2 linked regions of the Canis lupus familiaris genome follow. The protein of the gene in region 1 purifies or fractionates together with the protein of each later gene. This does not show direct contact. Links are inferred from orthologs where the notes say so. Each region holds a gene or a part of one and is shown on either strand. Other genes may lie near its edges. The genes, in order: STX4 and VAMP8.

Region 1 (15,864 bases):
AGGTCTCCAGGATCGCGCCCTGGGCCAAAGGCAGGCGCCAAACCGCTGCGCCACCCAGGGATCCCTAATTTTGGATTTCTTTAAAAATATTTCAATAAAATTTAATATGTTCTGTCATGGGACACCTGGGTGGCTCAGTTGGTTGAGCATCTGACTCTTGAATCAACTCGGGTCATGATCTCAGGGTCATGAGATTGAGCCCCGCATCGGGCTCCCCACTCAGCAGGAATCTCCTTAAGATGTTCTCTCCCCTCTCGCTCTGCCCCCTCCCCCCTCTCTAAAATAAGTAAATAAAATCTGTTTTTAAAAAGTAAAATGTTCTGTCATAAAAGACATTAACATTTTTAAAAATTTTTATTTATTTATGATAGTCACAGAGAGAGAGAGGCAGAGACAAAGGCAGAGGGAGAAGCAGGTTCCATGCAGGGAGCCTGATGTGGGACTCGATCCTGGGTCTCCAGGATCACGCCCCGGGCCAAAGGTAGGCGCCAAACCGCTGCGCCACCCAGGGATCCCCATTAACATTTTTTTAAAAAGATTTTATTTACTTGTTTGACAGAGAGAGAGCACAAGCAGGGGAGCAGCAGGCAGGGGGAGCCTGATGCAGGGCTTGATCCTAGGACCTTGGGATCATGACCCTAGCCAAAGGCAGACCCTAACTTAGCCAACTGAGCCACCCAGGAGACCCTATTAACATATTTTTAAAAGGTTTATTTAGGCAGTATATATTTCTTTATTTTATTTTATTTTTTTTATTTTTATTTTTTTAGTATATATTTCTATAAATAGTATTTTTACATTTCCTAATAGGCAATTTATTTTATTTTTTTAAAAAGATTTTATTTGTTAGAGAGAGAGAGCATAAGAAGAAGGGGCAGAGAGAGGGAGAGGCAGGCTCCTTGCTGAGCAGGGAGCCTGATGTGGCTCAACCCAGGGCCCAGGGATCATGACCCGAGCTAAAGGCAGACACTTAACTGACTGAGCCACCCAGGCGCCCCTATAGGGTGATTTATTTAAATAATTTCTCTTATTTGAGCAAACTTGCCTCCACCTATAGCAAAAGCCAGATATCCAGGAGTGATCTAGGTCCCTCTGATTCCCTTACCAATTTTTCCAAACTGCAACAATGTCTGATAGACTCTGTTACTTTAATGGATGCTCCATAACCACCTCATTATAATTTTTTTAAAGGATTTTATTTATTTATTCATGAGAGACACAGAGAAAAGGCAGAGACACAGGCAGAGGGAGAAGTAGGCTCCTCACCAGAAGCCTGATGTGGGACTTGATCCTGAAACTCCAGGATCATGCCCTGAGTCGAAGGCAGATGCTCAACTGAGCCACCCAGGCGTCCCATCACCTCATTATTTTTGGCCAGGGGGTGATTCATAACTGATTTCCCAATCAATCTTCTCCTGACCAGGGCTATTGCCAACCCCTATTGTGCCTTTGTGCAAATAGAAAAAGGTATCCCTTCCTCAATATGCTCTACCTCCATCTGCCAGACAATTGTAATAAATATTCAAATATGTAGGTGTCTAAGATGTGGCTGGTGCCTCTCTTGTGTGATAGCCCCCATGCGTACATAGGCACAGCCATCTGTATGGCCCTGCACATGGCCACTGGCAGAGTCCTTGTAAAATGAAAGTTTGATCATAGTATTCTATTGTGGGCTGAATGTCTGTGCCCTCCACCCCAAATTCATATGTTGAAGCCCTAATATCCGCCCCCCCTCCTGCTGTAATGGTATCAGGATGTGGGGCCCTTGGGAGATAATTAGATTTAAGTGAGGTTACAAGGTGGAGATTCTGATGGGATTAGAGATGTTCTAAGAAAAGGAAGAGACCTCAGGGCTTCTTCTTGCAAACATGCAGCAAGGCAGCCATCTGCAATCCAGGAAGAGACCCCGCTCCAAGAACTGAATCTTCAGGCCCCTTGATCTTCTCCTTCCAGCCGCCGGAACCGTGAGAAATAAATGTCTGTTGTTTAAGCCTGCCAGCCTGTGGTATTTTGTTATAGCAGCCCAAGCTGACTAAGACATATTTCTTTGTTTGAAATTATTCAAAGGTACCTTCTTTCTTTGATACGATTATTTAAAATAGGTAATACTTGCACGTGATTCAAAAATCTAAATAATATAAAAGATTTACAGTGAACATTCTTACTTTTGACAGCTGTTCTTGCCAGCTTGTTCTCAGGAAACATCTGTAGGGAACCACTTTTATTAGTTTCTTCTGTAACTTTCCAGGATTTAACGATACAAGCAAACATATACACGTGTGTGCATGCATGCACACACTGACACATTTTTTTCTTTTTTTAAAAAATATTTTATTTATTTATTCATGAGAGACACACAGAGAGAGAGGCAGAGACAGAGAAGCAGGCTTCATGCAGGGAGCCCGACCCGGGACTCAATCCCGGGTCTCCAGGATCACGCCCTGGGCCGAAGGCAGGCGCCAAACCAGTAAGCCATCCAGGCATCCCAACACTTTTTTCTTATACCACAGTAGCATGATAACTCATTCCACATCTTGGTATTTGACTAATGATATTTTAAAGCACTCTCACATTATTTGTGATGAATATCCTCATCCTTTTTGACAGCTGCCTACCTGCTGATGGACAAATTTGCAAACAATATCCAAAGAATAACACCGATGTATACGTCATTTCTTATAGTGAAATATAGGAAAGATATATAGGGAAATATAGGAATATACAGTGAATTAAAATTCTGTTTCTCCCCTCCCCCCCCTTTGCAGCTGGCATGGACTTGTGACTTGCTTGGACTCATTGAATATGGCAGAAGCAATGTCACACAGCTTCTGAGCAGGGTCTCAAGAGACTTTGCAGCTTCTCCTCTCACCTTTTTGGAACCATGAGGACACTGTGCTAAGAAGAAACTCAGGCTGGGAGACCTGACTGGCTCAGTCAGTAGAGCATACAACCCTTGATCTCAGGGTTGTGAGTTCAAGCCCCACATGGGGGATAGAGCTTACCTATAAACAAACAATTAAACAAACTCAGGATGAAATACCACATGGAGAGAGTGGCTTAGCCATCCCTTGATTGAGCCATCAGAGTTAAGGTCTCATACTAGTGAGTGACAGCCATCACGGGCCATCCAGCCCCAGCTGAGGTGCCAGCTGACTGCTACCACTTGAGTAATCTAAGGTAAGATCAGCAGGAAAACCATCTGACCATTCTTAGAATCTGGAGAAACAATAAATCATTGTTATTTTATGCCAGTAAGTGTTAAGGTGGTTTCCTGGGAAGCAATAGCTAAGTGATCCAGATAGATTTTCAGATAGATTTTCACAAGTGAGAAAGCTGATTCAAAGTGTACATAAGTTTATAATTTTGATAAATATTGTCTGATTTGTATCATTTTGCATTCCTACCAACAAGTTTCCCATGGTATTGCCAAAAGAGTGTTTTGTCAGACAAATGGGTTAAAATTGCTAATGCAATAAAGGAAAAAATGGTATTTCAGTATTGTCTTTTCATTTCTCTCATTATGTGTGAAAGTGAACATCTGCATATGTGTTTAAGACCTTTAAAATCTAAAAAAAAAAAAAAAAAAAAAAAAAAAGGATCCCTGGGTGGCGCAGCGGTTTGGCGCCTGCCTTTGGCCTAGGGCGCGATCCTGGGGACCCGGGATCGAATCCCACATCAGGCTCCCGGTGCATGGAGCCTGCTTCTCCCTCTGCCTATGTCTCTGCCTCTCTCTCTCTCTCTCTCTCTGTGACTATCATAAATAAATAAGAATTAAAAAATAAAATCTAAAAAAAAAAAAAAAAAAAAAAAAAAAGACCTTATATATTTTCTCTTTTGTGATCTGTCATGTTCTTTGCCCAGTTTTTATTAAATTGTTGGTCTTTCTTATCAATATGAGGAAGCTCTTTAAATAGTAGAAAGATTACCCTTTGTATATGATAAGAATTGCAAATATTTTTCTTACATTTGTTGTTTGTCTTTTGATTTTGCTTTAATGTTTTTTTGCCATGCAGATTTTTTCCAGGTAGACAACTGTATTAATCTTTTATAGCTTTTGAATTTTGAGATGGAGTTGGAAAGGCTTCCTCACTCCAAGTGTTAGAAAGGATTTTTCCCATATTTTCTTCTAGTATTTTTAGGGGAGCTTATCATGACAAATTGTGTGATCCATCACTTTTAAAATGAAGTTCAAGGCCAAGGTTATGGCACACGTGATCGGGAGTAACCCACAGGGAGAGGCAACAGGAGAAACAGAAGCTTGTTTAGGAGAGTCTCAGGGGGGAGACGATGCATCCTGTTTGAAACAGGTTGAATTTAAGGTGCCTATGGGACCTCCAGGAGGAGATGTCCGGTAGGCAAGTGGAATCAGAAGTCTGGAGCTCAGGAGAAAACTTAGGCCTGGAGACACGAATTTGGGAGCTAGCATATGCATGCCAGTTAAAGTCACAAGAGTGTATGTAGCGTTTGATTAGAAGTTCTCAGGTAGAACTCTAGGGAGTGGTCAAGGTCAGGCCATGAACATAATCACGAAGAGAGAGCTGTGGGGGCTTGGCACAAAACAGCCTCAGAGACTTGTAGGATAAACGGATGCCCTTTATATGAAACATGCATAAATATCCTTGGCTTCTGGGGACAGAGCAAACAGGGAGATGGGAGAGGACAAACAGCCTCCCCAGCGGTCAGCCCCACCCAGCAGGTGTGGGAGAGAGACCCTGTGACAGAGGAGGGGAGAAGGCTCAGTCTTGCAGGCAAAGTCTTCCCCCTCCTCCCCACAGATGATGAGCAGGGCATCAATAGGTGGCAGCAAGTTACCAAAGGTAGGTGGACACAGGGAACCCACGTTTTCCTTGGATCATAGTGGAGTGGATAAGAGCTCAAGAGAACCTCACAGAACCCAGAGCTCCACTCTCTGGGTTCAAATCCCAACTCTGTCCTGCACTAATGTGAAGCCTTGGGCAAATGACTTAATACCTCTGTGGGTCAGTTTCCTCCTCTGTAAAATATGGACAGTAACAGTACCTATCCCATAGAACTGCTATGAAAATTAAATGAGTTAGTATTTCCAAGGTGCTTATGTTGGTGCTGGGCACATAGTAAATGCTATATAAAAATTAAATTAGTAATTTCATTCATTAATTCATTCATATTTATTTACCAGCTACCATTTGCCAGGCAGTGTTGGACGTACTGGGGACACAGCAGTGAATAATGCAGGTGAAATCCCTGTCTTCACGGAGCTTATATTCTGGTAGGTGGACAGGAAGGGGTAAAGACAGACAACATATAAAATAAATATAAATAATACTTTAAAATATATGGTGTGTCAGATCCAGGGCGAAACAGGAGAGACGTGCAGACCATGGCAAGGCCTCTAGCCTGGTATCTGATGCACAGTCAGGCACAGATGGAAAGCGGAAGAAGAATCTGAACAACCCACAGAGTGGAATCCCTGCGGAGACACTGGCACTGCTGACACCCTCAGGCAACAATCACCATCATCACCAGCATATAACAGCAGCAAACACATACATAGCATTTATTCTGTACCACACTCTGTTCTATTCACTTTACACGTATCATCTCATTTAATTTTTCTGGCAATCCTATGAGGTTGGTACTGTTATGGTTCCCATTTCTCAAATGAGGGAACTGAGGCATAGCAAGGTTATGTAACTTGCCTTGGAGAATTGTGTGATGAGGTGAAGGAGCTGGGATTCCAGCCCGGGGCTTCTGGCTCCAGTATAGGTAGGATGTTGGTAGGATGGACCTGCAGTGGAGAAGACAGGACAGACCGCCATGCCTCAGGACTGGGTAGGGCCTGACCTTCCTGCACGCTGGAAGGAAAACACACACGTCCCTAGTATCTACCCCTCCCAGACCCAGTATGCTTAATACATTCATCAAGGTTGTTCAGAGGGGCCAAGAGGAATAACGCCCAAAACCATGAAATAGAGATAAGGGCTCAGCTCTGGAAGCTCCATCCCCAGAGCTATTTTCCCTGCATGGCCTGTGCTCCCCAGGAGCACAGGAGACGGTGCTCCCCACTGTCTCTACATACCACTCCATGAGGCTTTAAGCTCAGCCTCCTGTGACCTTAAGCCACCATTCCAAAGCCCTGTGATCCCACCCAGAGACCACAAATACAATAATGAATATTATAGTCCTGGGAAATTTAACAAAGGCACCAACAACTCTAGATCAAAGCTGGGAACCAAGAAGCAAACCATCAAGAGACTAACAGAGAGGCAAGTGGGCCTGGTGGTCCTAGAGATAGCTGGAGTCCATGATCATAACAGCCCCGAGAGTGGGCAACCCTTGGTAGTTCATAGGAGCTTTCCAGAGTCTTTCTCACCTCACTTGATACTGTTCAATTCTTTTTTTTAAAAAAAAGACTTATTTATTTATTCATGAGAGACACAGACTGAGAGAGATAGAGAGGCAGAGACACCCTCAGAGGAAGAAGCAGGCTCCCCGCAGGGAGCCCAATGCGGACCCAATCCCTGATCCCGGGATCATGACCTAAGCCGAAGGCAGGCAACTCAACCTCTGAGCCACCAGGCCTCCTGATACTGTTCAATTCTTACCTTAGAAATCACCAGACCAAGTTGTCAAATGGAGAAACTAATTCCCAGAGAAGAGCAACGAGTTATTCAAGATCAAGATCATTAAGTTATTCAGGACTGGGAGTCCAAGTTCCTAAAGCCCTTCCACTGCCCTCCCCCCCGCCCCTTGAGACAGAGTATGAGACACAGACAGACAGAAAGAAGGAAAGGGAGGCAGGGAGGCAGGGAGGCTGACATTGAAGACCCAAGAGTGGGGAAACCTTTCATGATCTCCAGGAGACCCCAAGGAGCAGGGCTTGGCCTCTGGAAAAACCCTCCAACCCTTCATTTCTCCTGTAGGTTGATCAGAGCAGCACACCATTTTCACTCCTTTGTTCCCTACCCCAGGCGAGCTGGGTTCTGAAGGGGACAGAAGGGAAGGGAAGGATCAAAGCCCTTCTAATAGAATCAGACAGCAGTTTATACTTTCCAACCTCATAATCAATGGACTTTAGAGCAGGGAAAGATGATCTAAAGATGATCTCTCCATCTTGCTATGCCATCTATCCTACAGATGGGATACTGAGGCCCAGAGACAAAGACATGACTTTCCAGAAATCCATAGCAACTCAATCACAGAGTTGATCACAATACAGATTTCCTTACCAGGACATACTAGAGAGGGGCCAGTCTTTCTTTTGCTTGAACCTTCATGTAAGTTCTCTGGAAAGAGTCCTGGGATCCAGGAGACCTGATTTTTATTCTGGCTATGCTGAGACTCACTTTGTGGCCTTGGAGACTGCTCTCACATAATGTAAGTTTCACAAGTGAAAGGTTTTTGTCAGTTAGGCCTTGATTTATCTCCGACCCCTACAACAGTCTCTGGCCATAATAAGTGCCCAATAAATGGATATCCATTGAATGAATGACCATCTAGTGGGCTAGGGCAGTGTCACCGTGAGAGGCTGAAGCCCAAAAGACAAGCTTTATCTTCAGATACATGAAAGGTTAAAGTTCTGTCCACAGATATTTATTGAGGGCCCATATGTGATAGGTACTGAAATAGGCCCTGGGGATTCAGGTAAGAACAAGACTGCGGCGCCCTGACCTCAAGAGCCCACGGTCCACTATAATGGGGAATGTGTGCAGATTTTTTTGCGGGCTTCAGAGGGTAGACCCAGATGCTAGGGAGGGAGGGAGTTAGATGTTAAGTGGCAGACTCCTCAATGTAATACAGACACTTTTCTCAGCTTTAGTTGCCCTGAAATGGTCTTATGCTCGGAAGGTGGTGAGTGCGGCGGAACTGCAGTGTTCATGCAGGGCGCCAGCCGCCCACCTGTCAGAGGCTGCGCCAGGAGGATGCGGGAGGAGAGATTTCTGCCTTGGGTGAGGTCACTTTCCACCCCCAGATTCTCTGCCTACAAAACCCTGCAATTCTCTGACGCTGGATCTTATTATTTTCTGAATCTCAAGGTCCCATGATGCTGACAGCCCCGAATTCTAAGTTCTCCGTCTGCCCACGTCCCTGGACCCAAAAGAAAATGAAGCCGAATTCAGCGAGGGTCCTACCACCCACTGCCTCAAACGGTCTCTGGGGGTAGTCAGCAGCCCCCGCCCCGCCTCGCGAAGGCTGGAGGGGCGTAGCTTGGGCGCCAGGGTCCCGGAGACGTCGTGGGGAGAAAGGTGCTCCAGAGACGGAGTTGACAGCGCCGGGGCACGTGACAATCAAAGTGTCACGTTCCGAGGTCCGCGAGGGTGGGACCGGGCTGGTCATGTGACGTGGGGGGGGCACCATGGGGTGATGTGAGATGCAGGGCCTCTGAGATTACGTATCAATGACGCACTCCCACCCGGTCTGGCAACTAGATTTCCGTTGGTAGATGCGACAGTTCCGGCGAAGGGGGCGGGTTCTCACGTCCTGGCAGCTTTGCTTCCGTTCGGGGCGCCGCAGCTTCCGACCTCAGGCTCCCTCCGGCGAGGAAGAGACGCGACCCCGTGCGCATGCCCCGATCATCCCAGAGGGGCGGGGCCGAGGCTACGGGGACGGGAGGGGGGGAAGAAAAGGGAATTCCAACCTGTGGAATCTTGGGGGGTCCCCGGGGTCGGCTGCTTCCCACTGACTGTGGATGGTGCCCGGGACGGAGCCTCTGGTGGCTCGTGGGGGGGCCCGGGGGTCCGCAGGGTGAGGGCGGAGGGAAGTGTCAGTGTCAGAGTGTGAGTGGGGTACGGGAGTTCCAAACTTAGTCTCGAGGCCCTCGGGGCTCCGGCGCCGGGAAGAGGGAGCTCGGGCCGCCATGCGCGACCGGACCCACGAACTGAGACAGGTGAGAGGGGGCTGCAGGGCTGGGGGTGGGCGGACGGGCTGGGGTCTGGCTGGCATACAGGACTCCCGGTCTTCGGGACAGGGAGGGGTGGCTGAGGGCTAGGAAGGAAAGACCCGGAAGTCTGTGAGTCCTGCGGGGAGAGAGCAACCGCAGGGAAGTGATGCCAGTGACCACCCCGGCCGTGGCAGGGGGATGACAGTTCGGACGATGAGGACAAGGAGCGGGTCGCGCTGGTGGTACACCCGGGCACGGCACGGCTGGGGAGCCCGGACGAGGAGTTCTTCCAAAAGGTAAGAGGCTGGGGTCTCCGCCTGTCTTCATGAGGGGGCTGGATGATCCGAGGAGCAGCGCGGTCCGGAGTATCCCCCATCTCCCTCAGCCCTCTCGGTCACCTTCCCCAGGTCCGGACAATTCGACAGACTATTGTCAAGCTGGAGAATAAAGTCCGGGAGTTGGAGAAGCAGCAGGTCACCATCCTGGCCACGCCCCTTCCCGAGGAGAGTGAGTGAAACCCCAAGTGCAAACGCATGCTCAGCCAGAGGGATTGTGGGGATTGTAGTTCCGTGCAGGTGGTGGCCAGGCAGGTTGGTTTGAGGTAGGAGCCGCTGTCTGGGAGTCATGGCTTTCTCTTCTTCAGGTATGAAGCAGGACCTGCAGAACCTGCGTGAGGAGATCAAACAGCTGGGGAGGGAGATCCGAGCACAGCTGAAGGGTGAGCCCCTAGGACCTCAGACAGACCCTTCCCTGTGGTCCTGCCCAGCTCCTGGTATATCTGGGGACTGTGTGGCTCAGTATTGCAAAGAAAAATACACTTGAGCTACCGTCAGAGGCTCATAATTAGTCATTTATGATAAAATATAATTCCCAAAATAATTCTGTGGAGATAAGCACCTCTCTATTGTATGGATGGGGTATGGCCCTGGCCCTGTGTCCTGGTTCCCACATGATTTTCTGAAGCCACACAGATCAAATCTCCTTCCCCACCAATCCCCTTGTGTCTTCCCACAGCCATAGAGCCCCAGAATGAAGAAGCTGATGAGAATTATAACTCAGTCAACACGAGGATGAGAAAAACCCAGGTGGGTTTATTATTCCCAGAACTAAGACATTTTGCAGGGTTTCATAGACCATTAGGTGGCAAAAGTAAGGGGAAAGGGCCCTTAGAGATCATCAAGTCCAACCTAATGATTTTCAAGTGGGGAAACTGAGGCTGAGAGAAAAAAAATCTCACCCAAAGTCTCCTGACTCCCAATCCACCTAACATCCTGTCGCCTTCTCCATTCATGAGAAGTTGCTGAATCCCCAGATGTGATCTGGGCTTGGTTGTGGAAGGCATGCTTTCTAGAAACCAACATGGTGAGTCAAGCTTGACTAGATGACAAAGACATTACTCAGGTAGGGTGTGGTAGCTAATAACCCCGCCCAGGGAAGAAGAGGGAAAGGTCATAAATGACAGGGAGCTTTCCTGCCCATATGACAGGGTCATCCTCTGCCCCATGGGCAGAATTCAAGAAATCAAGAAGAGGAACTTCCCTGGAGGGAGAAGGTCACTGAATCAACATCTTAGTGAGGAGATTTGAGGCGATCTAACTGCCCTTGTCTGGGTGCCCAGGGAGGAGTAATTTGGAGTTCCTGGAGGTCAGAGTTGGTGTAGGTGGGCCCAGAAAGTACCCTGGATTGAAGATAGGGCAGTTTGGGTATCTTACAATGATGTGGTGAAGGCAGGAGAGCAAATATGTCTCTAAGGAAGGAACTCCAAGGAATGAGCACATTGAAGGAAGCAAGAGAATGGACAAGATAAGAGGATGTTTCAGGGGGAAACTGTGGTAGTCATTGGTGTGAGAGGCTGAGGGTCCAGCCGGACCTGTAAGAGCTGGGCAATGGGCTGACCTCCAGGCATACCTTTAGTCTAAGCTGCAAGGCTGGTGTTCAGCAAGCATTCAAAGGTATTTATTGAGTGCCTACTGTGTGCTAGGCCCTTTTCTAGCTGTTTAGGATGCAGCAGTGAACCAAAGAGCCCAATCTTCATGGAACTTATGTTCTGGTGGGGCGAGACACACACCATAATAAATATGCCCACTATTTTAGAACGTAGGGTTTTTTTTAATTTATTTATTCATAAGAGACAGAGAGAGAAAGGCAGAAACACAGGCAGAGGGAGAAGCAGGCTCCATGCAGGGAGCCCAACATGGGACTCGATCCCAGGTCCCCAGGATCACACCCTGGGCCAAAGGCGGCGCCAAACCACTGAGCCACCCGGGCTGCCCAGACGGTAGTTAAGTATTAAGGGAAAAACTGAGGAGAAGAGGATTGAGAGTGACGGGAGAAGGCAGGTTGCAGTTTTAATAAGGTAGAGAAAACTTCATTCAGAAGGTGACATTGGAATAAAGATTTAAAGGCCTCTGTGAATAAATAAATAAATAAATAAATAAATAAATAAATGTATGTATGTATGTCTCTGTGAGGCATGAGTATTCTAGGCCCAAAGAGCAGTGAATGCCAAAGCCTGAAGTAGGGGTGGCTTTGGTGGGGGGAGGAAGGAGTCCACTGTGGTCAGAGGGTGCGAGTGAGGCAACAGCTGGAGGACATAAAGTCAGAGGGGAAATGGGGAAGGGAAGGTCCAATAGGGCCTTATAAGCCCTAGTAAAGGCTTTGGCTTTGACCTTGAGAGAATGGTGGTCAAGGCAGCAGGCTCCTAGAACAGCTTATGCTGTTTGCTCCCTATACTTATGGGGATGTTAAGGCCAAATCCTTCCGGGGTGCCCAGCCTATATTTTCTATCATCAGCATGGGGTCCTGTCCCAGCAATTCGTGGAGCTCATCAACAAGTGCAACTTGATGCAGTCCGAGTACCGGGAGAAGAATGTGGAGCGGATTCGGAGGCAGCTGAAGATCAGTGAGTTGTGGTGTCTGGCCTACAGGGTCAGGTAACCTGACCCAGCTCTGAGCCTGACCTTTTCCTTCACAGCAAATGCTGGAATGGTGTCTGATGAGGAGCTGGAGCAGATGCTGGACAGTGGGCAAAGCGAGGTGTTTGTATCCAATGTGAGTGGTCATGGCTAGCCTCCCTCTTCTGGGACTCTCATCTTCGCTGAGGCCTGGTCCCCTTTGATTGAGGGAATACAGAGGCCTGGAAGGGAATGACTTAGCATGCCTAGGGTCGCTCATCAAGGTCCTGGCCCCAGTTCTAAGCCTGAGGGCTGCCTGAAAGCTCAACAGGAACTTCTGATCTGCTGCTGGATTCCCTGTGACCTGTCTGGCCATTCCTATCTGCTCCCCAGATCCTGAAGGACACGCAGGTGACTCGACAGGCCCTAAATGAGATCTCAGCCCGGCACAGTGAGATACAGCAGCTTGAACGCAGCATCCGTGAACTTCATGAGATTTTCACTTTCCTGGCTACAGAAGTGGAGATGCAGGTGGGCAAGACAGCTGGCTGGGCTTGATGTGAGACCGTGTTCAGTCAGAAACCCCACTGTGTCTGTCAGTCCATCTCCACTCTCTAGCCTCTCTCCCCGAGGCTTTCATCCCCCTCCAGGCTGGGCCATGCCCCCAGGCTGGCCCTCACTCCCATCTGTAGCTGAGCCCCAGAATTGCTTCCACCTCCACATTACACAGATGGCCACTCCTCTACACTCACCATCTTACCCTGTCTCCCAGTTGAGCTACCCAGGATGTAGCCCAACTCTGGCTCCTCCTCCACCAATAGAATCCACCCTTATACCTCTAAGAGTTCTACTCAAAGATGCTCCTTAGGGGGCATGCCTCCACAGATCTGAATGAGGTTGGGGTGGGAGGTGGTGTTCTTCTGCTGCCCCCGTTGTGTGAGGTGAGGTAAGCTGCCGGCCTCTAGTGCTGCAGCCAATGCCCTTGTGCAGCTGGGATTCATGGGGAAGGCATTTCATTCAGTAGGAGTACCAGGACCTGAAGGCTGGCAGTGCCATGAGGAGGCAGGGTTGGGGAGGGCTTCACAGCTGTTGAGAGGCAAGCCTAGAAGAATGAGCAAATTCAGACAGATTTACAAAGAGACAGAAGTTCACCCTCTGTGACAAGGTATGAGCTTCTTAAGGCGCTTGGCTCCAAGCCACCACTGCAAATGAAGGTTGTAGGGGGTAAGGGAGCAGGGCAGAAGGGACTACATAATAAAAGGGATCCTGGAAGCCACCCTCAGGAGTGTGCACTTTGGTCAGATGTGGTCCTACCCCCACACCTTTGTTAGTGCTGCATTTCCTGCCAGAAAATGTCCTTTAGGCAGCTAGTGTGAGCAAGCAGAGGAGCTGATGGGCTCTCCACCCCCAGTCATCCCTACCTGCCTGAACTGTCCCCCTCCTCTGAGCAGGGGGAGATGATCAACCGGATTGAGAAGAACATCCTGAGCTCAGCAGACTATGTGGAACGCGGGCAGGAACATGTCAAGATTGCCCTGGAGAACCAGAAGAAGGCTCGGAAGGTGAGCCTTGACACCCCTTCCCTCCCCTCTAGTCTGAGGCCCTGGTTGCCTTCCCTCCCCTTCTGAGTTTGTTTCCCTGAACTCTCCCACAGAAGAAAGTCTTGATCGCCATTTGTGTGTCTGTCACTGTCGTCATTCTGGCAGTCATCATTGGTATCGCCACATTGGTTTGAGAGCATTGCACATTCTTGGTGAGCTATTGTGGGCCTGCCCCCTGGCCTGCCTCGTCCTGGGCCCCTGCCTTTCCTCCTCCCCTCAGACCCTCTTCTCCCTCCTTCCCTTACAGGCTCTAAGAACACCGGGGACCCGGGTCCGCCTTCTCTCCCAGCAGCTGAGGGGGGAGGGCAGGACAGAGCCTCCAACTGGACCCCCTTCCTCACACTGGCCCTGTGCAGAGGGGCAGACAGTTCTTCTGGGGTTGGCAGCCACTCATTCATGGGGGCTTCTCCACTCAGGCCACAATGCCTGGGGGAAGGCCTGCAGCGTCCTGTTTGGCTGGGACACATGGTTTTGTAAGAAAGTAAAAAAAGACAAACAGAAAAATGAGCTTGGAGACTGCCCCGTGCATGTATGTTCCTAGAAGAGCTGGCCCAGGGCCTCTACGTAGGCGGCCTCCTCTTTCCGTGGCCATCTTTGGGGCCAGGCCCATCCGAGGAAGACTCAGATCAGACTGTTCAGGTGCTGTGACCACAGCAGGCTAGCACTGCCCTTCTACTCTCCCTTAGGAACAGGTGGGCAGGGAGGGGCTAACACCCACATCTGGCTCAGTATTGTCCTTGGGGAAGGATTACTGTGAGTACCTAACCCCAAAGCAGTGAAGCTGGGCCTGGTAGGCTGGGACATAGGTGAGGTGTGTGTGGGCATCCATCGGCCTTCCTGAGGCCACGAGGCACCGTTGAGTAATGGAGGCTGTTACTCCAGATACAGTGAACAGGGAAAGTCCTGTCTCAGAAAGGGTGACATTTCAGTGGGCTGTTAAATGAGGAGGAGCCAGTTATGAGAAGAAGCAGGGGGAGAGGCTGCAGGGCAGAGCCCAGAAAAAGGCATAGCCTTTGACATAAGAGTTTAGCTTAAAGCACTGGGGACTCCGGATCAACACACCTGGCTTCTAGGGAGTTAGGTGGCTGAAGCAGTAGAGGTGACAGAGGAGCCTGACCCTTGGTTTCTAAGAGCTCTGGGCCCCAACTCTAAATTTCTAAGAGTTCCGAGTCCAGAAGCCTAGCTTCCAGAGCTGGGTGTGGCACCTGTCGCCAGACACCTGGTTTCAAGGGGTAAGCTAGCTCCTGGCTCCGAAGCTTGGTTGGAGTGGAGCAGCGCCTGACCCCAATCAAGTCCTGGAGGCCGGGTTCCAGCTGCCACAGCCCATCCCGCTTTCGATCCCACAGGCCCCTGCTGCTGCTGTCGTCGCTGCTACTCCAAGCTGCCCTTGCCTGGGCCGTCGGGCCAAAGTACCACACATGTGGGTGCTGGGTGACGCGAATCATAGAAGGGGTGGACGCGATGCCCTGGGTGCAGTCTCGGACCCAGCCCCTGGACCTGCGGGGGGGAGGGCAGGAGCCAGAGGACGGGATTAGGCTCCAGAGACCCCTGCCTGCTTTGCCTCCACCCATCTGGGCGTCCTCCTGCAGCGCCTCCCAGTGGGCTTAGAGCGACCCTCGCCTGGCAGTTGCAAGGCGCCTGCGCCAGGTCCGAGGGTCCGCTTTGCCCCGCGTGTAGGGGGCGTGGCCTGGCCGCAAGTGGAACACGATTGGGCGCGCTAGTAAACGCCGCCTCTGAGGAGCAGCGGGATTGGTCCCTAGGACGTCCAGGGACCTCCTGGGGGAGTGAGGAGTGGCTATTCAGCCGCAAGCCTCCCTGAACTGACGTGGGAGGAGCCTCGGCGAGTCCTCAGTCGCACCCACAAGTGATTGGATCGCAGGGCGAAGCACGACCAAACCTCTAAAGGAGGCGGAGGCGGCACTGGCTTGTGAGAGTCTGGCGGGGGTAGGTGAGTCAGGGACTTCACCGGAGAAGGCGTGGCTGGGTCCCCCTCCCTAGCCGCCGAGCTTGGCAGCTGGGAGGGTACCCACGCCTTCGTCACGGGCGTGGGTACCCTGGGATCCTGTGTACAGATGAAGCCCTAGATACCTACAGGAAAGAGCTCCTCATTCTCCCCAGTGTGCAAACACAATCTGGATGTGCGCTCGAGGGGAAAACTGCTGGGCGGCACAGATCCTGCCCCCGTAAAACATTGATTTGAGTACGGGGCTTCTGGGCTTCCCTGAATCTCCAGCTCTCCCCCCTGCGGCCTGCATCTTCGGCGGAATCCTGTCCTGTAGGTCGCCTTTGTCCACCCCTCACCTTTCTGCCTTCAGAGGAAAACTGCCCCACCCGTGGCACCTACTGGGATCTGATAGAGACTATCAGATGTGTCAGTGTGCGTTATGTGACTTCAGACTGGCTTTGCGGGACGGCGCCACCCCTGAAAGCCTGCTTACCTGTCCGCCTTACCCAGGAAGCCGTGTGGAACCTCCTGATAGGAGTATCTAGATGGCCGAGTGAGGCTTCA
Region 2 (12,552 bases), on another chromosome or scaffold:
CAATAAAGAAAACAGACCCCCCGGGGAGAAGTTACTAGTTCTAGCTTTTCGGTATTTCCCTCTTCACCACAAGGGCAGCTGCAGCCCTGCCCTCATATAACCCTGCTCCTCCAGAGCCTGCCTCCATGCCCATCTCCCCTCGTGGCTGTGGCCACCCCCACCCCCTGCCTCCCCCACCACCTCAACTGTGGCTCCTCTTGGGGAAGGGGGTTGAGGGCTTCCGTCCTAGCATTGACCCTGCCTGAGCACGGCCCACATTCCTACCCTGGGCAGTCTGGGTCCCAAGGAAGTGGTTTCACCCCAGTTCTGTGGACTTTGAGTCCAGGAATGACAGACGTGAGGAGAGAGGATGACCATGGTCTGAGATAGGAGGACACAGGAGGACAAAGATTGGCCTGAGGGCTTTTCTATGCTTTTTTTTTTTTTTTCCCTCCCTGGTTCTCTGAATATGATTCCAGAACCTGACTTGCCAGGAGGAGTCCCAAATCCTGTCTTCCAACCCTGTCCCTTCCACACTCCCCCCCACCCCCAAAACAGATTGTTTTCAATACCGGAAAGCCCATGGGAGAAACAGGGACAGAGATGGCAAGAACCCTTTCCCCAAACCAAGACAGGAAAGAGTGACAATGAGGTGGAACCTGGCAGGGAGAAGGGAAGACCGAAGACAAAGAAGCCCATTGTACATGGAGGGGAAGGAGGGCCATAGGCCCTGTCCTGTGACACTGACTGAGCCCAGCCACAAGATATGGTGAGAGATGCTCACCCTCTCAGCTGAGACCCGGAGGCCCTGCTAAGTCCCAAAAGGGCAGACAAAAGACAAATAGAACTTTGAGAACCAGGGGTGCCTGGCTGGCTCAGTCAGAAGAGCATGTGACTCTTGAATTCAGGGTCATGAGTTCGAGCCCCATATTGGGTAGAGAGATTACTTAAATTAAAAAAATAAACAAAAGAACTTTGCAGAACCAAAAAGAAGGAAAAGTGGCCCAGTTCCTCTAGCACCTTGCTCTAGACTGCACCAGGGCCATAGAAAAGAGATGAAAGGAGGTCCTCAGCCTGTCTTGGCTAACACTTCTAGTAGAAAAGTAATAAAGGCACATGGCAAGGCTCAAGCCCTTAGGAGTCTTGTGTACCACCCTAAAATGGTTTTGAATTTTCCATATGTGGAAACCCTCAGAAAACTCTGGTTCTTGAGACCTGTCACAATGAATGGAAAATAGAGAAGAATGGGGAGACTCCATCTTTCTTCTCCAAACATACACTTTCTACCCCTCCAACAATGGGGCCTCAAATAGGAGAATCTCAGCCAGAAGCTGTCCCCAGGGAGAATAGAAATAGAAGGACCAAAGGCAAAAATGGAAGGGGACAAATTACCTCACATGTGAAGGGATACTGAAAGGTCTTTATTGCCCACCGGCCACCATCAGTGTCCTAGCCCCATGCTGGGCCTTCTGGATATCTCTCCAACCAACTCTGAGGGCCCATGAAACAGCCACAGTCCAACTCTCTCCTTCCGGGGGACCAAGGTGCCTGGGGCAGACAGTGTGGCAGAGGGGCCTCAGAATGAGGGGCAGGAGGACGCAGCAGCACTTCCTGCAGACAAGGATGGAAGAGAGGGCCCTTCTTGGCACCTGCTATGGAGGGTTGCCCTAAAGAAGAGGGTGGGTGGGGGGAGGGGCTCCCTATGTGGGGATGGCATGGGTGGCGAAAAGCACGATGAAGAGGATGATGATAAAAACAATCACGCAGATGAGGACAATCATCTTCACGTTCTTCCACCAGAACTTCCGAGCCACCTTCTGTGATGTGGTCTTGAAGTGCTCCGACTGTTGAGGACAAGGCAGAGTGAACCAGTGCCTCCTCCCACCAGAATAAGAAGACAGAGGCCCACATGCTATACATGTAAATGTTGAAGTGAACAGTTGAGGGAACAGACCGTTACACAAAAAATGTTCTGTCCTCCTACCCTGACAAATATACCTTCATGACAATCTGATGGGCCAGATTCAAATTTAGAATTCTAAATTCTTGCCTCCCCTCCTCTCTTCTTACCCATGCACCGTCATGTACACTGAGGGGCCTTTTACATATGCTCACACCCAGAAGTGCAACACTGTCTGCACAATCCGCCCTTGGGAGAGCACACACTGGGGCGAACGGGTGCAAGCTCCAAGTGGGCACATCTCCCTGGGACTCTGACTCCGTGCCCTATGGGGACCTCTGAGGCTAGAGGACAGACCAGGGCAGTACAGACGTCAGAGGTAAGAGAAACTGCTCTTCCTCCTCAACTGGAATTGTAGAAATTAACTTTCCCTGGGCCATGCTCCTCAGATTAGGCTGCGGAAAGAAACACTAAGTCCCAGGGAAACTAGACCCAAGCTTATGCACAAGACTTGGAAAGCCACAGCCAGTCTCTCCCTGTGGACAAAGAACCTTAGGCCCCAACCTTTGCTGGAGTATTTTGTTAGAGTTACTCCATCCCTGAGCAGCTGGCTTCAGCCCATGGCTGGAGAGAGAAAGGAATGAGGTCTAGCAAGATGTGTGGGAGATATTATTCTAGCCTTCAGCTAGCAGAGGACCCCCTGATCAAAGAATTTCACTGCTCTTCCCAGCTTCTTTTTAAAGCAGACTCAGCAAAACTCTAGCAGTTTTCCACCCCCTGCCTAGTGACTCCTCAAGAAGGCCAAAGGCCCTAGGAGTATTTTCCGGAGCCAATATTTTTGGCTTAGGGAGGTCAGGTCCAAATGATTGTCAAGGGCAATCTTCAAAGGGAAACATCAGTTTCATGGGAGGGAAGCCTAAGAATGTGAGGGCTGACTGGGCCATCTACCTTTCTGTCTCAGACAAGGCCTCCAAGAATCAGCCCCACCCACCCACCCACCCACCCAGTCACTGGAGCCATTTCCTGGACCCCAGTACCAAATAGTGGAGTAGAGCAGAATCAAAACAGGGGGCTCACTTGTCAATTCCCAAAACAAGTGAAAAGGCAGACTTCCCTCCTATTCATTTTGCCCCCAGCACCACCAATTCCCCGAGCCCCAGCAATTCACCCTCCCTCTCTTCCTCTACTGCCCAGCTCCCAGCCGCCCTGCTCCCAACCTCTGTGGGTTCCCCATCTCACTGTGGCTTCCAGATCCTCTGTCTTGTTGCGGAGATGGTCCAGGTTTTCTCCTCGGGCCAAGATCCGCTCCACATTCTGGGTCATAATATTCTTGACTCCCTCCACCTCACTCTGCAGGTTCCGCACACGATCATTTCCAACACCTCCACTGGCCTCCTCCTGGGCAGCAACGCAGGGGTTAATTAGGCGAAGTGGTGGAGGAACTGAGACTCAGCCTCAGAGGCCAGGGGAGGGGAAGGCCTAAGGTGGACTTTAGCTTTTTTTTAATGCTTGAACTGTTTACAAAGAATGTTTTCATGTATTACTCATGTGATCAAAAACAAATGCACTTTTAAGCCCCAGAAGGTGAGTGCTGATGCTAGACAGACTAGATCCAGTTTCTTTTCAGGTTCTCAGGGCCCCTGAGGAGGAAAAGAAACACAGACCCTAAATCCCACTCCACTGTTGCCTTGCTCCTCAGATGGGGGCAGAGAACTGCTGAGCTGGCATCTCACAAGGGGGAAACCCACCACTATTAACCGAAGGATCCTCATTGAAAATATCTGTGCTGGCCAGCAGAACACCCTCAGCTGCCACAACACCCCCCTCACTGCTGGACAGCAGCTGGAGAGCTGCTCCCGCCCCAGACTTCCCCAGACCTCCGGAGCTGCCTAATTGCTGTGACCCAGAGCAACAGCCACCGGGTTCCAAGGCCCTGGCCAGGCCCCAAGAGGGAGAGCCATTGCGCCATAAACTTCTGCTTTCCCCCAACACACTGCCCCATGTGCCGGCACCAACCAAGCTGCCACTGCCTCCTTAAGCAGATATTAAATAAAAACAGCAGACTGGCTGTTGAGGGAAATGGAGGGCAAGTCCTCCCTGGCTGATAAAGTTTTTGAACAGGGAGGGCAAACCATTACTAGGCTCCTCCCTCCCTGACCCCCTAGACCTCCGAAACAGGCCAGGAGCCGGTCCAAACTAGACGGATTGTCACAGAGAACCAACTTCTGGTTCTTTTACAAACCCTTCGCCTTCTTCTCCGTGTTTAAAGAGAGGGGCCCGATTCCTTAGGCCGGGCAGAGAGAGACGGATTCTTGGAGTTTCTCGACAGGATAAAGGGAAGGGCCGACGGGGAGGGCTCCCGCCGCTGGGCTGGAATCCGCCCTGGGAACTTCGGAGGCGCTGCCCAAGGGGGGTCACCGGGCTCGGCGCCCGGCGGGCCGGAGGAGGCCAGGAAGGGCCTCTCAGCGGCTCCCGGCCTGGAATTCGGAGCCTCCACCCCCACCGGAGCCCCGCTCCGGGCCAGCTCCGAGGGCAGGGGAGGGAGAAGGCGCGGGGGCAGCCGCCCGGGCAGCCAAGTTGTCAAAGGAGAGCGGCCACCGGCTGCACCGGGCCAGCCCTCCGACTTGGCCAGCGGCCCTGCGACCCCCGCCCCCAGCCCCCCGCCCCCAGCCCCCGCTCGCCTTTCGCTCAGCCCCTCGCGAGCTCCCAGCGCGCTCACCATGTCTCCAAGCGGCTCGGGCCTGGCGGCGGCGAGACTCCCTCGTCTGTTTCCTCCCGGGCGGCCCTCGCTTCACTTCCTGCTCGCTCCAACTTCGAGCCTGCCCCCGCCCGCCGGCATCCCGAGCGGCTCCAGCCTCACCTAGCGCGGGCCGGCAGGTAGGCGGGCGCCCTCCGCTGCCCTCCCAGTCTCCTCCCAAACCTGGGCTCGGGCTTAAAGCAACAGGGCTCGATCACCAGAGATCTTCTAACGCATCAGAACCAGAAAAAAAAAAAAGAAAAAGAAAAAGAAGATCAAGCAGCCCTCCTAGGTTTCCTGAGGCTGGACCTCCTGATATAGATAGGGAAGCTGGCTCCGCCCCCCCCCCTTTTTTTTAATGTCCTGAATATCTGACTCCAAATCTTAAACACTGAAGTCAACTCTAAGTACACCACCAGGGGTAGTTCACATGGAAACAGAACACAGATATGAAAGTTTCTTGCTAGCAACCCCTGTTCCCATGTTCAGGGGTGGACAGAAAGTATTAAAATCCCCCCAAGTCTGGAGTGCTGTAATCCTAGGCTGTGGTGTCAGAAAGCTCCGGATTACTAGTGTGACCCTGAGTGAAATTCTTCACCTCTCTGGTTTTGGCAGGTGCTAATGCTGACCTCAGAGGATGGTGGGGACGTATAACAGGATAGCACACTCAGTGTGCCTGCCACAGTTTCTGAAAGGAAGACCTGTCCACTGTTGGGACGAGGGAATGATGGCTTACCAATCCCTTCTTCCCTTCCAGAGTTCAACATTTCCTTCAGAAGCCGCTTTGAGGGGTTGGTGAGCCTACTCAGAAATGGTCAGAGGCCTGCCCTATGGACAAGAGAAGGGCCCCAGGCAAAGGATTTTTCCACCACCTGGTTCCAGGCCACAGAATATCTAGTCTTCCCAGATGGTATTTATCAAGACAGAACAAAAACAGGGACAGGCAAAAGAGAACAAACATTCCTGTCCCATCCCAGAAGTATTATTAGTTCTTTTTTTTTTTTTTTTTTTTTTAGTATTATTAGTTCTAAGAGAGAAATGTCAGTTTCTCTAACACATATTTTGTTAAAGGAAATGACAATTTCTGGACCTCTGTTTTGAGATACTTTATTCTACTTTATAATGAAATCTTATCTCCAATTAAATAAGATTATTATATTTTGCAAATCTGAAATTTGATGGACAGTACCAGCCTACTTTCACAGAGAATGTGGCTGTCTCACTTCTCATCATCCTTAGAAAATCTATAAAGAAGAAAAAAAAAAAAAAAGAAAATCTATAAAGAGGTCAAGTGGAGATGGGTCAGAATCCTTGATCTGTACTTATGCTGTCCATTACCATAGCCACTGACCATATATGGCTGCTGAGCACTTAAACTGTGGCTAGTCTGAATTGAGAAGTGATGTAAGAGTACACACAGTATTTCTTTTTTTAAAAGATTTATCTATTTATTCATTTGAGAGAGAGAGCACAGGCACACATACATCAGGAGGGGAAGGGCAGAGGCAGAAGGAGAGAGAATCTCAAGTAGACTGCTCTCTGAGTATGGAACCCTGCACTGGGCTCAGTCTCAAAACCCTGAGATCAGTGATCTGAGCTGAAATCAAGAGTGGGATGCTCAACCCACTGAGCCATCCAGGCACCCCAAGTATTTCAAAGACTTTTTTTTTTTTAATTTACTTACTTGAGAGAAAGAGCATGAGGCAGGGGAAAGGGCAGAGGGAAAGGGAGAAGCCGGGAGCACAATCCAGGCTCAATCCCAGGACCCCAGGATCATGCCCTGAGCTGAAGGCAGACACTTAACTGATACTGATAACATGTTGAAATGATGTTGTGGATTTATTGAGTTAAATTTTAAAAATTGTTAATGCTCATTTCACCTGTTTCTTTTAATTTGATGAGTAGAAAATTAAAAATTACAAATGTGGCTCAAATTATATTTCCATTATAAGACACACTGATCTATGCATTAATATTCATGTGACCTTGGACAGACTGATGTGACATCTATAAACCTCAGTTACCTCACCATCTATGCCTGGCACTGAAACAACCCTCAGTAAATGGTGGCTATTATGATTACTATTATTAATGATTCCAGATGCTAAGTGCAGTGGTGGGTAGGGACATAGGATAGGTGCCAAGAAACAAAGTAGGATGTCTGAGGAGAGCATAAAGACATGGAGGAGGATTTCCAGAATAGAAATTAGGGTTACAGGAATGCCTGGGTGGCTCAGCGGTTGAGCGTCTGCCCTCAGCTGAGGGTGTGATCCTGGGCTCTGGAATCAAGTTCCACATTGGGCTCCCTGCAGGAAGTCTGCTTCTCCCTCTGCCTATTTTTCTGCCTCTCTCTCTGTATTTCTCATGGATAAATAAATAACATCTTGAAAAGAAAAAAAAGAAAGAAAGAAATCAGGGTTACAAGATTTGAGGAGTGACCAGGCTCTAGCATGCTGCTGGCAGCTTTGGACATACATTGGTGTCCCTGGGGGAGCTGACCCTTGGCCTAGGCCCAGAAACCACTGGGGAGATTTTCCAGCACCCACAGTTGGGACTGCAACGTGCTCCCCCTCCTCTTCACCATGCAGAGCCCCTGCAGTCTTGGCCTCTCCTGTAGGAACATCACAATTCTATCCTTTGTCAAAAGACCACCTTGCTAATGCCCTCAGAAGATGAGACATTCAGTAAAGTACCAAACAATGAACTGTGAGCAGAAATGGTACTATGGGGGGTGCATGGCTGGCTCAGTTAGAAGAGCATGTAACTCTTGATCTTGGTGTGGTGAATTAAAGCCATGTTTGGCCTAGAACTTACTTTAAAAAAAAGAAAGAGGGGATCCCTGAGTGGCTCAGTGGTTTAGCATCTGCCTTTGGCCCAGAGCGCGATCCTGGAGTCCCGGGATCGAGTCCTGCGTCAGGCTCCCAGTATGGAGCCTGCTTCTTGCTTCTCCCTCCTGTGTCTCTGCCTCTCTCTCTCTCTCTATGTCTATCATAAACCAATCAATCAATCAATCTGAAAGAAAGAAAAGAAAGAAAGAAAGAAAGAAAGAAAGAAAGAAAGAAAGAAAGAAAGAAAGAAAGAAAGAAAGAAAGAAAGAAAGAAATGGTACTATGGGCAGGGTACGAGAAGAGAAATAAGTCATCGATTCCTTTGCAGTCAAGGAAGGCTCTATCCCAGGAGAAATGGAGTAGCAGTCACTTTGCAAAGAAAAATGCTAGATGGTAAGAGTTGTACTAAAGAAGCAATCATGATGTGATGAAGAGTGTTCTCAGTGCCTGTGTGATCAGAAGATTTGGGTATCAGCTCCACTATTCCCTGGCTATATAGACTTGGGCAGGCCACTTCCCTCTAGGAGCACCAGTATTCTCATCTGCAAAATGGGAAGAAGAATGAAAGCTGCTTTGCAGGGTTATTATTAGGGTTAAATAATACAGATATATATTTCTATATTCCTGCTAAAGCACTTTACAAGTGAAAAAGGAGACTGATAGAGAAAATAAGATTAGACAATAGTGGAAGAGGAATATTAACAGCCTGCAAAGCAACCAGGCAAACTTTGAGAGTGCATTGACCTCGATGCTAGTCTTCTTATTTATGGCATAAATGGGGAGTTTGCTTCTATAGCTCTCTGGGGAAAGGCTGGAAAACAAGGAAAAGGAGCATTCAGGAGGCACACCTGGAATTGCTCCCTGAAGGATCAGAAAGCTCTCACCACTGCCAAGGCCTCTTTTGCCTCCAAACCCCTTTGTTAACTGTTATACTGCTGGTTATCCCATCTGGGACAGTCACACTCCACCCCCCCACCCCCAATCATTCCCGATGTCTCATTCTCTTTCTGACTGTGCTTTTAGAACCAGAAGCTTCTACCTGTGACCATCTTCACTTTAGACTCTGCACTCTCCCAGAGCAACAGTCTTCTATGAGGCTGATTTTGCCCTCCAAGGGACATTTGACAACAGAGACGTTTTCGGTTGCCACAACTTGGCAGGGGGGGGGTGTGCTCCTGGAATCCAGTAGGTAGAAGCCGAGGATGCTAAGTTTCCTACGTGCAAAAGACAGCCCTCTCACAACAAAGTATTATACAGACCAAATGTTAATAATGCTGAGGTTGAAACCCTGATCTCCCTAGGGAAGTGCAACGCTTTATGGTTTCAGCAGCCATTTATGGGTGATCCCCAAATCTGTATCTCCAGCCCTGACCTTGTTCTCAATTGCCATCGCTGCCTCTCCAGTGCCCTCTCCACAGGCACCTCCAAAAGCCAAACCAAACCCTTTATGTTTTCTCCATGTTCCTCCTGCAGGGTGGTACTCCCATTCTACCAGTTTCCCACGCTAGCTTATCCCTAAACACATTTTATCTTTTTTTTAAAGATTTTATTTATTTATTCATGAGAGACACACACAGAGAGGGAGAGACAGAGGCAGAAGGAGAAGCAGGCTCTATGCAGAGAGCCCAATGCGGGACTCGATCCCGGGACTCCAGGACCACACGCTGGGCTGAAGGGAGGTGCCAAATTGCTGAGCCACCCAGGGATCCCACATTTTATCTTTTATAGAATCCATAATATACTTTGCCATTTGCGGCATACGCATTTGACACCTCCGAGACTCTAACTTTTGTGAAGTCGGAGGCTATGTCTTTATTTTGGTACCCCTTGTTGAAAATAACATACATCATGCAAGAGTAGTCACTCAGTAAATGTTTCAGGTATTGAACCAAAAGATCTGACAGAGAGCTTCTTTTTTTGCAGTGCAGGTAAAAATACAATTTTTATTAGAAAAGACCCATGCATGGGGGCATGGGGCACCTGAGTGGTTTGATTGGTTGAGTTGTGTCTGTCTTTGGCTCAGGTCATAATCTCAGGGTCCTGGTATAGAGCCCCACATCAGGCTCCACACTCAGTGGGGAATCTGCTTCTCCCTCCCCCTCTGGCCCTCACCCCCTGCCCCCCACATGCACTCTCTTTCTCTCAAATAAATAAATAAATAATTTTTAAAAAGAAGGAGGAAAGAAGAAGAAGAAGAAGAAGAAGAAGAAGAAGAAGAAGAAGAAGAAGAAGAAGAAGAAGAAGAAGAAGAAGAAGAAGAAGGAGAAGAAGAAAAAGAAGAAGAAGAAGGAGGAGGAGGAGGAGAAACATGAAGAAATCTCTTTCCTAAATTTTGGATCATTTTATGAATAAATGAATACTAAATGGCATGAGTCTGTACACTGATCCTGAAAGGATAAACTGGATACCCCCCAACAAAAAACAAGTCATGGGGTAGAGAGGTACTGAGTTATCACAGCTGTACTTCTCTTACCCAGAATGCTCTCTGGTCACCCAAGAACATACTAAGAACTTTTGAATTCCTTCTCTCCTCTTAAAATGATACTCATCCTTCAAAGCCCAGCTCCAAGTTTTCAGAAAACTTTCCCGAGTTCTCTAGTCGTGATTCATTTCCTCCGCAGTACTCCCGCAGCACTTTGAACCTCATGTAATACTTAGGATTTTGTACATTCTATTGTCATTATTCTATTATTTCTTTTATTTCCTTATCCTTTAACTCCTATAGGACAAAGGCCACAGCTTAATAATCTGTTTCTTTCTCTGTAACTAGTCCAGTTCTTGGCACATAACAGAATATAAATGCTGAGTTTGATGGAACCATCTAATTTTGAATGGTCTTAGAAGAGCTAGCCCAGACTTTCTGACCCACACTGAATTCATTTGAACTGGGGTTTTACAGCACAAGAGATTCATCCCCTAAATAGATCTATGGCTTCCAAGGTGACTTGTCTGTTAGGATGACCTGGAAGTGGGCCAGACCCTCCCCAGCAGGAACACTGTTAGCCCCATGATTCTACCTGCCAAATGCATCTGTCCCTAGTAATCTCTACTTTTACATATACTCCAGATATTCCTTTCCTTTAGGATAGTGGTTCTCAACACATGGTCCAAGAACCCCTGGACTCTTCAAAGACAAAACTACTTCTATATTAATACTAATACGTTATTTGTCCTTTTAACTATGTTGCCATTTGTGCTGATGATACAAAAGCAATTGGGAGTTAATGAAACGGTTGGCAACTTAGCAGGAAAGAGCCAGTGGCACCAAATTGTAGTAGTATTCAATGCATTTATTCCCCCTTAAACAGTTGCATTTTCAAAAAACGCCATTTTCAATGTCTCTAATGAAGCAGTACGAATTATTTATTTTATTAATTTTTGACACTGGAGCACACATCCTTAACTATTTTGTGTGAAGAAATGCGAAATACACAACACTTTGCATACCCAAGTATGATGGCTGTCTTCACAGTTGTTCCTAGAAAAAGCACTTGTGTCAGTAAGCTGTGAGCTGAAGTAATGTTTTTAAATTAACAGAGTTTTTTTTTTTTGAGTAGCATAGACAGTTCCCACACACCCCTTAGCACTCTCCCATTTTTCTCTCATTAGTAACATCTTGCACTAGTGTGGTATATTTGCTTTACAATTGATGAGCTAATATTGATAGATGATTATCAAGAGAATCCATAGTTTATGTTAGGGTTCACATTCCATGGGTTTTGGCAATGTATGCCCCATTTCCTGGCAACCACTGATCTTTTGCATTAAAACCAGTTTTGCCATTTCCAGTATATCAGTTTGGATTATACGTACAGTATGTAACCTTTCCAGATTGGTTTCTTTCACTTAGGGATTTGAATTTAAGGGTCCACCTCATCCTTTTGTGTTTTGATAGCTCATTTCATTTTACCACTGAATATTCCACTGTATGAATTTGCTGGTTTGTTTATCCATTCACCTATTGAAGGACATCTTGGTTGCTTCTGAGCTTGGGCAATTATGAATAATGCTGCTATGCATTTGTATACAGCTTTTGTGTGGGCATAATTTTTCAAATCATTTGGGTAAATACCAAGGAGCACAATTGCTGGATCATATGGTAAAAGCATGTTTACTTTTATAAGAAACTGCCAAACTTTTTTCCAAAGTGGTTGTACCATTTTGTATTCCTACCAACAATGAAGTAAAGTTCCTGTTGCTCCACATCTTCACCAGCATTTGTTATCGATGATGCTTTGGATTGCAACCGAATTGCTGTATGAGTTCTAGCAATCTTGGGGTGGAGACTTTTGGGTTTTCTATGTAGAGTATCATGTCATTGGCGAAAAGGGAGAGTTTGACTTCTTCTTTGCCAATTTGAATGCCTTTAATGTCTTTTTGTTGTCTGATTGCTGAGGCTAGGACTTCCAGTACTATGTTGAATAGCAGTGGTGAGAGTGAACATCCCTGTCTTGTTCCTGATCTTAGGGGAAAGGCTCCCAGTGCTTCCCCATTGAGAATGATATTTGCTGTGGGCTTTTCGTAGATGGCTTTTAAGATGTTGAGGAATGTTCCCTCTATCCCTACACTCTGAAGAGTTTTGATCAGAAATGGATGCTGTATTCTGTCAAATGCTTTCTCTGCATCTAATGAGAGGATCATATGGTTCTTGGTTTTTCTCTTGCTGATATGATGAATCACATTGATTGTTTTACGGGTGTTGAACCAGCCTTGCGTCCCGGGGATAAATCCTACTTGGTCATGGTGAATAATTTTCTTAATGTATTGTTGGATCCAATTGGCCAGTATCTTGTTGAGAATTTTTGCATCCATGTTCATCAGGGATATTGGTCTGTAATTCTCCTTTTTGGTGGGGTCTTTGTCTGGTTTTGGAATTAAGGTGATGCTGGCCTCATAGAACGAATTTGGAAGTACTCCATCTCTTTCTATCTTTCCAAACAGCTTTAGGAGAATAGGTATGGTTTCTTCTTTAAACGTTTGATAAAATTCCCCTGGGAAGCCATCTGGCCCTGGACTCTTGTGTCTTGGGAGGTTTTTGATGACTGCTTCAATTTCCTCCCTGATTATTGGCCTGTTAAGGTTTTCTATTTCTTCCTGTTCCAGTTTTG

The links.
Region 2: the proteins of STX4 (region 1) and VAMP8 purify together in Homo sapiens (affinity purification with western blotting; 3 studies listed by BioGRID and IntAct, with this or other methods). This does not show direct contact. The link is inferred for Canis lupus familiaris from reciprocal best matches to the Homo sapiens genes STX4 and VAMP8.

Annotation. Positions count from the first base shown.
Region 1 is NC_049227.1:17,344,509-17,360,372, reverse strand, and holds STX4 (syntaxin-4), read left to right. Parts: upstream 1-8,487; 5' UTR 8,488-8,836; coding exon 8,837-8,866; intron 8,867-9,054; coding exon 9,055-9,156; intron 9,157-9,267; coding exon 9,268-9,367; intron 9,368-9,503; coding exon 9,504-9,578; intron 9,579-9,874; coding exon 9,875-9,945; intron 9,946-11,653; coding exon 11,654-11,762; intron 11,763-11,834; coding exon 11,835-11,911; intron 11,912-12,147; coding exon 12,148-12,285; intron 12,286-13,205; coding exon 13,206-13,316; intron 13,317-13,408; coding exon 13,409-13,489; 3' UTR 13,490-13,507; intron 13,508-13,602; 3' UTR 13,603-13,862; downstream 13,863-15,864. UniProt on the Homo sapiens protein: Plasma membrane t-SNARE that mediates docking of transport vesicles. Necessary for the translocation of SLC2A4 from intracellular vesicles to the plasma membrane.
Region 2 is NC_049238.1:39,844,064-39,856,615, forward strand, and holds VAMP8 (vesicle-associated membrane protein 8), read right to left. Parts: upstream 5,484-12,552; 5' UTR 5,353-5,483; intron 4,845-5,352; 5' UTR 4,602-4,844; coding exon 4,599-4,601; intron 3,278-4,598; coding exon 3,119-3,277; intron 1,824-3,118; coding exon 1,680-1,823; 3' UTR 1,380-1,679; downstream 1-1,379. UniProt on the Homo sapiens protein: SNAREs, soluble N-ethylmaleimide-sensitive factor-attachment protein receptors, are essential proteins for fusion of cellular membranes.